Ovis aries: one gene and its partners. The protein of the gene in region 3 interacts with the protein of the main gene of each other region in a biochemical or structural test. Links are inferred from orthologs where the notes say so. Each region holds a gene or a part of one and is shown on either strand. Other genes may lie near its edges.

The links. The genes of interacting proteins can lie anywhere in the genome.
Region 1: the proteins of CYSLTR2 (region 3) and MAGI1 interact in a test that uses a peptide from one of them, tested with the Homo sapiens proteins (2 studies listed by IntAct, with this or other methods). The link is inferred for Ovis aries from reciprocal best matches to the Homo sapiens genes CYSLTR2 and MAGI1.
Region 2: the proteins of CYSLTR2 (region 3) and PDZK1 interact in a test that uses a peptide from one of them, tested with the Homo sapiens proteins (2 studies listed by IntAct, with this or other methods). The link is inferred for Ovis aries from reciprocal best matches to the Homo sapiens genes CYSLTR2 and PDZK1.

What each region holds. Positions count from the first base shown.
Region 1 is NC_056072.1:35,499,282-35,503,030, forward strand, and holds the start of MAGI1 (membrane-associated guanylate kinase, WW and PDZ domain-containing protein 1), read left to right. Parts: upstream 1-1,198; 5' UTR 1,199-1,802; coding exon 1,803-2,115; intron 2,116-3,749. UniProt on the Homo sapiens protein: Plays a role in coupling actin fibers to cell junctions in endothelial cells, via its interaction with AMOTL2 and CDH5. May regulate acid-induced ASIC3 currents by modulating its expression at the cell surface.
Region 2 is NC_056054.1:99,065,641-99,069,389, reverse strand, and holds the start of PDZK1 (Na(+)/H(+) exchange regulatory cofactor NHE-RF3), read left to right. Parts: upstream 1-1,482; 5' UTR 1,483-1,608; intron 1,609-3,749. UniProt on the Homo sapiens protein: A scaffold protein that connects plasma membrane proteins and regulatory components, regulating their surface expression in epithelial cells apical domains.
Region 3 is NC_056063.1:18,786,384-18,789,825, forward strand, and holds part of CYSLTR2 (cysteinyl leukotriene receptor 2), read left to right. Parts: intron 1-362; 5' UTR 363-662; intron 663-2,389; 5' UTR 2,390-2,390; coding exon 2,391-3,424; coding exon of another isoform or gene 3,425-3,428; exon of another isoform or gene 3,429-3,442. UniProt on the Homo sapiens protein: Receptor for cysteinyl leukotrienes. The response is mediated via a G-protein that activates a phosphatidylinositol-calcium second messenger system.

The sequences.
Region 1 (3,749 bases), on a different chromosome or scaffold from region 3:
CTTTACACTCACCTCCCTTATTTAGCACTTGAAATCTCTCTTGTGACCCAAGATGGATAAATAAGTTATAAATCACTGAGGAAAAGAAAATGTTTAGGAGACTATCGCCCAGGCCGATTGGGGAGTATTTAGGGAGGGTAGCCTTGCCGGTGCAGGATATTCTTTCTGTCCGCAGCCCCCGAGCACGTTCCGAAACCTAGCAGGGACATTAGCTGGCTCTACCCCCGCCCTCGGGCGGTGCCCGAGGCAACAGCAACTCCAGGCTGTGAATTCCGAGAGGTGGCTGCCGCGCCCACGCCCCCGCGGGCGCCAGGACTTGGGTGCAGATCCCAGACCCAGGAGTGATCCTTATCTCCTGGCCCCGGGGCGGGTCCAAAGGCTGCCCAGCTTAGCCAGGAACTTGAGTCCAGGACAGACGCCTGGTTCCAGAGGTCTCTGGCCGCCAGTTTTAAAGAGCTAGACCCTTTTCGGTTGAAGACCCCAAGCCTCTCTTGCTTTTAGGCTTCTTTCCCTCGCCTTATACTTTATCTGCGTCCAGAAAAGTTGGCCCTAAAGTTTAAGGATGCAGATAAGTGTGTGTATACGTGTGTGGGCGTGTGACGGATCCCATTTGGGGGACCACCACGGCCCCCCCTCCCCAGGGTCGCAGAGGCTGGGGCACACCCTACTCAAAGACCAGAACCCGCCCTCACAGTGCAGGTTGGGGGGAAGCCGGGCAGGCGCACTCCTCTGGGTTGGGGTCAGGGTATTAGAGGGAACTGCGGCGGGGGGTGGGCTGGGTGACGGACAGCGTGGCCAGCCACTGGCCGAGGGCGGTAAGGAAGCTTAGGCCGGCGTGTGTGCGTGCGTGTGTGCGTGAGTGTGAGCGCGAGGGTGAGTGTGCGCCTCCCCAACCCCCACCTGTTTGAAATGGTTTTAAAATACCCAAGCAGATTGCCCATGTTTTTAAGTTGCAGTCAGTTGGAGTAAAACACTTCCTCCTCTCCCAGACCCCCGAAGGGGCTATGCAGAGTCGTGAGCACTGAAATAAAAGTAGGAATGAGAAGGGTGTGTGAAGGGGGAGAAAAGTGGCTGATCCTGGAGAAGTCGGACTTAGGACCCAACGGGAAGCACATTGGAATCTCTCACTTCGGGAAGGCGGGGTGGGGCGGGCCGGCCGGCAGGCGGTCGCGGGGCGCATGCGCGCGCGTCTCCTCTTGCCGGCCGCTGCGCTCGGCGGCGCGGAATAGAATGAACTGTAACAAAACAAGCCGAGCCTTTGTATCTGCTTAAAGGGGACGCAGGCACTTCCCTCCTGTCCCCCCCGCCCCCGCTCAGCTACCGCGTCTCCAGGGCTCCCAGCAACTGCCTAGAAGGGCTTCCCTCACCCTCAGAAACTGCCCGCCAGCGAGGAAAGGCGACCCAGGCGGGAGGCAAAGAGGAGACACCGCATTTCTAAGAGGCAAGAAAGAAAGGAAGGAAAAAAAAAAATAATCCAAGCTGCGCAGAGTGGACTCTGGTCCCAGAGAGCACGGTCGGGCGCCGGAACGTGGACCGAGAAGCACCGGAATGCAAACAAAGCTCGCGGGCGCCTGTGCAGGGCTCGCGGGGAAGCCCAGAAAGTTTGTTTTATGATGGCTTGAGTGAGCGAGTGTGTGCAAGGGAGCGAGGCTGCCAAGTTTCTCTCTCCCGCTGCGTTGTTTGTGGGGGGAGATGTCTCTCCCATGAACCAGCAGGGGCTTGGGGGCTTGTGCTGTGGGGGGCACCTGTCTCTCATTTTATCATTATTTTTTTTGGCGGGCGTAGTAGGGGTGTAACTCATCATGTCGAAAGTGATCCAGAAGAAGAACCACTGGACTAGCAGGGTTCACGAATGCACCGTAAAACGGGGACCCCAGGGAGAGCTGGGGGTGACGGTGCTGGGGGGCGCGGAGAACGGAGAGTTTCCGTATGTCGGAGCGGTGACGGCTACCGAAGCGGCGGGGCTTCCCGGCGGCGGCGAGGGCCCTCGGCTGAGCGAGGGCGAGTTGCTACTGGAGGTGCAGGGGATCCGGGTGTCCGGCTTGCCCCGCTATGACGTACTGGGAGTCATCGACAGCTGCAAGGAGGCCGTCACCTTCAAAGCCGTCAGACAAGGTAAGTCGGGCCGCGCCTCCTGGAGGCGCCCCCAGAAAAGAACCGGCCTGAGAAGTCTCCCCCCCGCCCCCCTTCCGATTTCCCGCTTTTCTTCTGCGAACGCGGCGTAGGGGCGATGTTGAGGCCGTGTGCCCAGTGATGGTGAAATACACCAAGTTGTTGAGAGGCTGTGGGTTGCTTGCCCACCTGCGTTGGGAAGAGGGGCTTGGGTTAGCTCGGGGAAGCGCAGAGATTTTTCCCTGGCCCGGTTTGCTAACCTGTTATCTCTGCAACCAAGCGCAGCAGTGGCTTGCCTGCACCGGGAGGAGAGTTGGGGAACTGAGGCAGGGGCAAAGTGGACGCTCTCCTGGCTCCCTGGGCGAGTGTTGCAGCGGGCGCAGCTACTGTGTTCTTTGATCTCTTATTTGTTTTCAGACCTAGAGAATGGGTATGAAGGAGGTGAGGGTCTTTGATTGTTGGACATCCTTAATCAAAAAATCAGCATCACCCCGTGACCGGCCAGGTGGGCTAGGGCATCACCACCTTTCAGTCCTAAAGCTTGCAGCTTGAAGATCTTGCATTCACCCCACAGCTGGATGACGCATGTGTCTCAACCCGTGTGGCCTGGCCCCAGACTTTTGGGTGGCGTGGGGGGAGAGAATAGAGAGGGTATTTCAGCGCCATTCAAGCCCGAGTTTATACTGCCACCAACATCACCACCATCCCCATCACTGCAACCATCGTCATCATCCCTGTGAAGATGATTATAGCTGCTGTTTCTTATTCACTTATTATGTGTCAGGTTCTATGTAAAATGCTTTCCTTGCACTCTTTTGTTCTGATGCACAACAATTCTGAGAGCGAGTGTTTCTTCTAAACCCCCTTATGTTACCGATAAGGAAGCTGGGACTGACATTGTTTCATTTACTGATATTGGTTCAGTTACTTGCCCAAGGTCACACAGATGCCAAGAGTGAGGGTTTGAAAATCCTTGCTGCAGAGCCTTAACCACCAAGGAGGAAGAGGATGAGTGTGGGAGACCTGAGGGGTGCACTTAAGAGAAGGGAGTGGAAGCAAATTCACCTCTGGGAAGCTTGGAGAGGAGTGATATGGCTGCTGGTTGCGGGGAGTCCCTTGCATCTTAGTTTGGTATAGGCTCAGGGCTGTCCCTGAGTAGAGAAGTAGAGAAGGAATGGATTCCCTTAAAGGGGTCCCTTGTATGACCAAGCACCGTGATGCAGGTTCTTCCCTGGTTGAGCCCTGGTGAAAAGTTCACACATGTGCCTGCGTGCTTGAAAGGGCAAGCAGCAGCTGGAGGACTGTGTCAGAGGAAAGGAGGGCTAGGCTGAGCTAGTCCTCTTTTGGAAACAGGCCTGTTCCAGATGAAGTGGAGGAGGGGGACAGGGAGAAGAGACGGGCCTTTTGGTAGCTTTGGGAGCTGAGGGACTGACAGTTATGGAAATCTCCTTCCATTTGTGTCCTCATTATCTGCTTGCACACCTCCTCCAAGAAGCCTTCAGGCACCCTGCCAGGATGAAGAAATCAGCGTTCCTCTGGACTCTCCTAAATGTGTGTCTTGTCAGTTTTCTGCTTATTCTGAACTATGCGTTAGATCCCTTCCCTTCTTTCCATACAAGGTGGTAAGCTCATTGAAA
Region 2 (3,749 bases), on a different chromosome or scaffold from region 3:
TGGAGGAGGGCATGGCAACCCACTCCAGTATCCTTGCCTGGAGAATTCCATGGACAGAGGAGCCTGGTGGGCTACAGTCCGTAGGATTGCAAAGAGTCCAACATGACTAAGCACAGCACAGGACAGAGAACAGAGCTGCTTCAGGGTGAAGGGGAAGATGGGCCAGGAGTGATGCAGGGAGGCCGGGGGGAGCAAGGGAGATGAGGGATGGCGGCAGTCAAATGGTCCTATACATAGAGGTGAGGGGGTGGGTGACTGACCTTATTTCTTCACTCGTGACCCCCTCACCCATTTCCATTCTATTCTATTCCTCCTTGGTTGTTGATGGCTGGGGAGACCATGACGATTATTCCTAAACTCTAGATTGTGTACTTTGGTAGAAAGAGCATTGGTCTGAGAATGAGAAACTCTGGGCTCTAACCTCTGCAAGGCTGGGCCAGGCCCTGTGCCAGTGGGGACTCAGCACAACAGGAATCCCCTGGTTATGCAGCAAACTCTACCATGATTGCCAACCAGTGCTGGGCTACCCAGGAGCCCTAATTGGGTTGGGTGACATTTTTCATGACTAGAGTCCCTCTCCACTTGTGTGGACAGGGAATTCCTGTTTTTAGTACTCTGTGCCCCACCCCCAAATAGTAACAGGACTTCTGGAGTTTGAGGTCCTTTCAGTGGACAAGGAAACCATTGTCTGGGCGTTGTCAGGTGAGACATACATCAGGAACATCTTGTTATTCCACTGAAGTATTCAGCTTTCAGTATTCAGAATGAGTCAATTCCAGGAGCCTGTGGTATAGAAACCCTTGTTGAGAAGGGGGGGTCTTTCATCCCCTTTCCATGTCTCTCACCAGCATCCCGGTCACAAGGCCAGCCCACCACAGCCCACAGGACACCTGGCCCTGCTGACACGAACTCTTAAATTGGACCTGGTATCTGGTAACCCAGTATCCTTCTTTGCTGTCCATACAATAGTGGTCAAATTTATGACCTCCTGTTCCCTAAAAAGGAGATTTGTCCATGCTTGTCTCTGTGGGGTACTTAGAAGGTTGGCTGTGAGGGCATTCAGCATTTCTCATCATCCAGGGATTATATAACACAGATTGTTATGAACATGAAGAGGAGTTGAACATAACAGGGCTGTAGATGCACGAAGGTGGGCCCCCTGAGCCCCAACGGCATAGCTATGTATTCACACTGGTTACTGCAAAAACCTCAAAGTTCTGCAAAGACCTCAGGGCTAGAAACTGAATCATAGAGGGCTTCTTTCTTACAGTGAGGCGGCATCTGTGCATCTTGTAAATAGTTGCCTAAATCATTTTCCTAAGATGCCGCTTCTGATCCCTCCTCACTGAGAATCATTGTATGGTAGGCACTGGGGGGTTGACGTGCCTGAGTGCTGGCCTCCTCTCAGGAGAACACTCTCTGCTGAGGCCCCACCCCTGTGAGCCAGAGCCGACCGACTGCACCAGGTGCTGCAAGTCACCCAGAAGTGAGAGGACACCCGAGAAGGAAAGCCGGAAGAGAGACTAATCCGTGCACCAGACACTATTGGGCACTTTCATGAACGGTGACATTTGAATTGAGCTTTTAAAGAAGAGAGAATTTCAAAAGGTAAGTGCTTTTCAGATAGAAGAATAATAGGAATGAACAAGGAGTGGGGCCACTCGGGGCTTGTTTGGAAACCAGTGAAGTGGCTGAGGTGGCTAGAATGTAGGTTGCTTGCTGGCTGGAGGGGCAGCCCCAGTGTCCACAGTCTCCCAGATATTTATCTTGTCAGCCTTCACGTGTCTGAGGTGCCTGAGTCCAATAACACAATTTAACAGCTGATATATTGTTTCCAGGATATTACTATAAAGTGCTCTGTGTTAAAATCTGGTTAATTAAGTCATACTTGTATCTCACTTCTGTAGAACTGTGATGTCTTAGAGATGGAAGGGACAAACACAGTCATCTAGTCCAGTCCCTGGCAGAGTGTAGAAGCTTCCTTGTCAGTGGTTCTCAAAATTGAGTGTGTATCAGAATCACCTGGACAGTTTGGTAAAATACACATGTCTGGGCCCAGCCACAGAGTTTCTGATTCAGTAGGGTTGCAGTGGGGTCCAAGGATCTGGGATCCTAATAAGTTCCCAGGTGCTGCTGTTGCTGTAATTCTTGACAACTGCGTTATTTAATACTTCTTGAATCCTCGGCCTCCATCTCTAGTTGTGTGTGGCTCATGACCACTCACAGCATCCACCCACTATTCTTTGTTGAACCCTCCAGTTGTTTGAAAATTCTCCCTCCCGTTGCCTTCAGAACTGCCTTCCTTTTACTTCCACCCAACCATTGCTCCTAATTCTGCTGAGAGCGCCACACAGAACATGTCTGTGGATGGTGGCTGAGTCACAGGCCTGGGCTCATCTGCTTGCTCTCCCACTAGGTATGTGACCTTGGGCAAGTCTCTCAGCTTTTCTGAATTTTCCTGATTTGTAGAATGGAAATAATATGTTTCTAAAATATCTAAATAAGATGTTTAGATTAAATGAGAAAGTGTGCATAAAATAATTAGCTTGCTTTTTTGGCGCATAGTAAGTACTCAATAAATGCTGAGTTTTAGCACTACCCGGATTCCTTCTCCACGTGTGTGTGTTAGTCGCTCAGTCGTGTCTGACTCTGTGACCCGATAGACTGTAGCCCACCAGGCTCCTCTGTCCATGGGATTCTCCAGGCAAGAGTACTGGAGTGGATTGCCATTTCCTTCTCCACAGGATCTTCCCAACCCAGGGACTGAACCCAGGTCTCCCACATTGCAGGCGGATTCTTTACTGTCTGAGCCACCAGGGGAACCCTTCTCTATGTGGGATCTCATCAAATCACTGAAGAAAGTTAATCATTTTATCTAACATTTCTTCTTTCTGGGATAAATATCCTTAGTTTCTTCACCTATTCCTTCTGGCACAGTGTCAATATTTCCTTCATTTTTGTTACTCTGCTCCAAACAGAGTCTGGTTTGTAAAGTTCCCTTGTGAAGTGTGCATGGGGCTCAGACCTGTCGCTTGCCTCAGCATAGCTGGAGCCTAGTATATTCACTGTCGCCAAAGATCACTTTAGTTTTTGTGGCTAATTTCCACATTTCACTTGACCCCATCAGACTTTTCGGCAATGAAATGCCTGAGGCCACATCTGCACGTCAGGGAAAATTTGTTATTCTGTCACATTTCCCCCTGAGGCTCCCCTGGCTGCCTCCGCGTGGGGCTCTTACTGTGTGTGGGGTGTTGGCTGGGGAGATCACTCTGATCCTGGGTCTGACCTGGGGCTTACACTTGCTTTGTGACTGCTGTGAGAGCAACCCGGACAACAGGCCATGTGAAGAAGCATGTCAGAGGCTGACAGAGAAAAGGGATCTACTTCTTTTCTCTGTCTTGGCCTCTGCCTCTCCTGGCTCCATGGGCCTGGTGGGAGACCCAGCGTCTCCCCTGGGGAAGGGTGAACTGACCCCTTTGGTACAGCCAATAGTTTTCTAGAAGGAAAACAAACTTCAGGGCCAGAGGGCATTTAGAGCAAAGCTGTGTAGGCATTTCAGTCCCCACCCCCTGCCTCTGTCTCTACTGGCCTCTTGCCCAGAGTCCTTGGTAACATCATGAGGAGAGAGTCAGGGCTGTTTTTTATGGGGATGGCGTGGCAGCTTCAGGGGTATAGGTATTAGGGTGACAAGGCAGGCTCTGGGAGCAATGCCTCTCACAGTTTCAATCCCAATTTCTAGTCTGTAGTGA
Region 3 (3,442 bases):
TGGACCTTTGTTGGCAAAGTAATGTCTCTGCTTTTCAATATGCTATCTAGGTTGGTCATAATTTTTCTTCCAAGGAGTAAGCATCTTTTAATTTCATGGCTGCAGTCACTCTTTAATTCCAGACATTTGAATCTTGGCTTGTTGATCTGGCCCATTAAGTAGGGATCCTCTTCATCTATCAAAATCATATTCTGGATAAATTATATAATAACAGCAGCATTTCACAGGGACAGTTTTATAGAACATTAGTTCTGTGGAATAGTAGAATGTTTCAGTGTGCAAAAACGTTTTCAGAGTAAAAAAATAAATAAATAAAGAGGGACACCCTGTATTAATCAGACTTGGTTTTTTTTTTCTTATAGGACCTCCTAGAGCTTTGACATGTGTTATGAATCTCCAAGAGAGGGATACTAAAGCTTGCTGTGTCTCTCAGGCTGATTTGAACACAGAAGCCTTTCCTTACACAGAACATCTCATGGAATTCGTAGTTTGTGGAAGATACTTTGGGAAGTGCTGAACTAAAGAAAAGACTTTTTTTTTTTTTTTTACGTCATTTACATACCAACCATGTTTTCTGAGTTGCATCTTCACATCAGTCTCTGAAGGAGAATTGAAAAACATATTTGCTGTATCGGAAATACATTTACAAAGCATCCATTTGGGTAAGTTAATTTAACTAACATTTTACCATACTTCTTTTAGAAGTATCATTCTGTGAATTCTCAGAGTCAGTGTCTTCTAGTCAAAGGCCTTTATGAACACCCCTGTAGTTGAACAGCATTGAGTGTATTGACTTGTTGTATCAAGGAGAATGCACACCATGGGAAATCAGAATATCTCAGGAAGAGGGTGTTGGAAAAGAATTCTTGCAGGAATTGTGCTTCTGTTAGGTAATTTGGGGCTTACATTAAAAAACAGAGGACTTTGCAGAAACAAAAATGGTTATTAGTTCTTATAAAAAAAACTCTGTAAAATAGGGACCCGGACTACCATACCCAGACAATGAAAATATGTCTCCCCAAGCCACTTGTTTTTTTCCTTAGACATCTAGAAGTCTGCCCCTACCTCTGCAGTTATGGGCTGTCCTGTAGTATTTACATAGGTAAGGCAAGAAGTGTTCAGTATAAATTTCTCTTTGACTAGAAAAGAAGAAATTAAGAACCATGTGATTATCCATGACAACTATGCCTAGTAAATTTACATTTAAACCAATGCTTGGTCAAAGATTAAAAAAACCTGCACACTTCTAAGAGTGGTAAGACAGATTGTATTCAATAATATACTATTGCAATTTTTTCAATAATATACTAGTCCAACATGAACTGAACTCAGAAGTAACTGGATGTTTTATTTTATTTATTTATTTTTTTTAAAAAAATACGTATTCATTTATTTGGCTGTACCGAGTCTTAGTTGCAACACGCAGGATCCTTGTTGGATCCTATGGGATCTCTCACTGCTGCGCTCCGACTCTCTAGTCATGGATGTATGCTCAGTAGGTGCAGGGCGCAAGCTCAGTTGCTCCATGGCATGTAAGATCTTAGTTCCCTGACCAGGAATCAAACCCACATTCCCTGCACTGCAAGGAAGATTCTTACCCATTGGACCACCAAGGAAGTCCCTGGGTGTTTTAAAAAGAGAATGAGAGAAAGGAGAGGAGAGTGAGTGAGCAGGGGCTCAGTAGAGTCAGGGAATTTAAAAAATTACAAATAGGAAGGAGGGGTTGGGTCCAAGTGGAAAGTATCTGGGTTTTCTAACTGGTACTTAAGAGACTGGGCTCTTACCCTCCCACAGAGGCTTGAGGCAGAGGCCCTATGTCCAGGTGTTGGCTGGAACAAGCACTGAATTCTTTTGGCAGCCTTGAGATTTCTCAGGCTATGTAAGAAGGGGTCATCCTTGAGATGCAGTCTTGAGTTGTTCATAACTATGTTAGTGTTTTTATGTTAGTTGTTATTCAAGTCGCATAAGTCAAGGTTGACACCTGGTTGACAAGAGGATTCAGAGGAGCCTGGCTAGAGTTTCATCAAGAAGAGAATCTTTGTCAGCTTCCAGAGCAGAAGATGTGTAATTGATGACTTTCTCCAGGGTCAGAGACAAGCTTCAGATGATCTTCATCTGGACCCTGGGCAAGAGTTCCCCTAGTCTGAGACTTCAGCTTCAGTCAAATAAATGAATGGTTATTCTGCATTCTAGAAGTTTACCATGAAATGAAATGAAACATATAGTAAAGACAGATGGTAAAAGGATAAGCACATGGTAAAACATAGCCAATATTTTTTGATTCAAGTTTCAAAGAAAAGCTAGTATTTCTCTCTGTTTCATTAAAACCTGGATAAATGTAAGCAATGAGCAGGAAGCAATTTTTTGTATCTGTTTCTTTTTGATTCAGCATGGAAAGAAAACTTGTGTCCTTATCTCCATCCATCTCCGCATCAGAAATGGAAATTAACAGCACCTTCAGCGATCACCATAGCAACAGGAACTGCACAGCTGAAAACTTTAAGAGAGAATTTTACCCCATCGTGTACCTGGTAATATTTATCTGGGGAGCCTTGGGAAATGGCTTTTCCATATATGTTTTCCTGCAACCTTATAGGAAGTCCACATCTGTGAACATTTTCATGCTCAATCTGGCTACTTCGGATCTCTTGTTCACAGCCACACTGCCCTTCAGGGTGGACTATTACCTCAGAGGGTCCAATTGGATATTTGGGGACCTGACTTGCAGGATTATGTCTTACTCTCTGTATGTCAACATGTACAGCAGCATTTACTTCCTGACTGTGCTGAGTGTGGTGCGTTTCCTGGCCACCGTTCACCCCTTCCGGCTCCTTCATGCCACCAGCATCAAGAATGCCTGGATTGTTTGTGGCATCATATGGGTCTTTATCATGGCTTCCTCAATAACGCTACTGAACAATGGCTCTGAGCTGAAGGGCAATGTCACCTTGTGCTTGGAGCTGAATCGTAATAAAGCTCCTAAACTGAAGACCATGAACTACATTGCCTTGGTAGTGGGCTTTCTGCTGCCCTTCTGCACGCTCAGCATCTGCTACTTGCTGATCATCCGAGCTCTGCTGAAGGCGGAGGTCCCAGAATCAGGGCTGCGGCTTTCTCACAGGAAGGCATTGACCACCATCATCATTGCCTTGGTCATCTTCCTCCTGTGCTTCTTGCCCTATCATATACTGAGAACCCTCCACCTGCTCCAGTGGGAGGCGGATTCATGCAGCGACCTGCTGCATAAAGCTGTGGCCATCACACTGGCTATGGCGGCAGCCAACAGCTGCTTCAACCCTTTGCTTTATTACTTTGCTGGGGAGAATTTTAAGGACAGACTAAAGTTTGCACTCAGGAAGGATCATCCACAGGAACCAAAGTGCTGCTTTCCTTTCTGTGTGTGGCTGAAAAACGAAACAGGAGTGTAAGGGGTTCTTGGGCA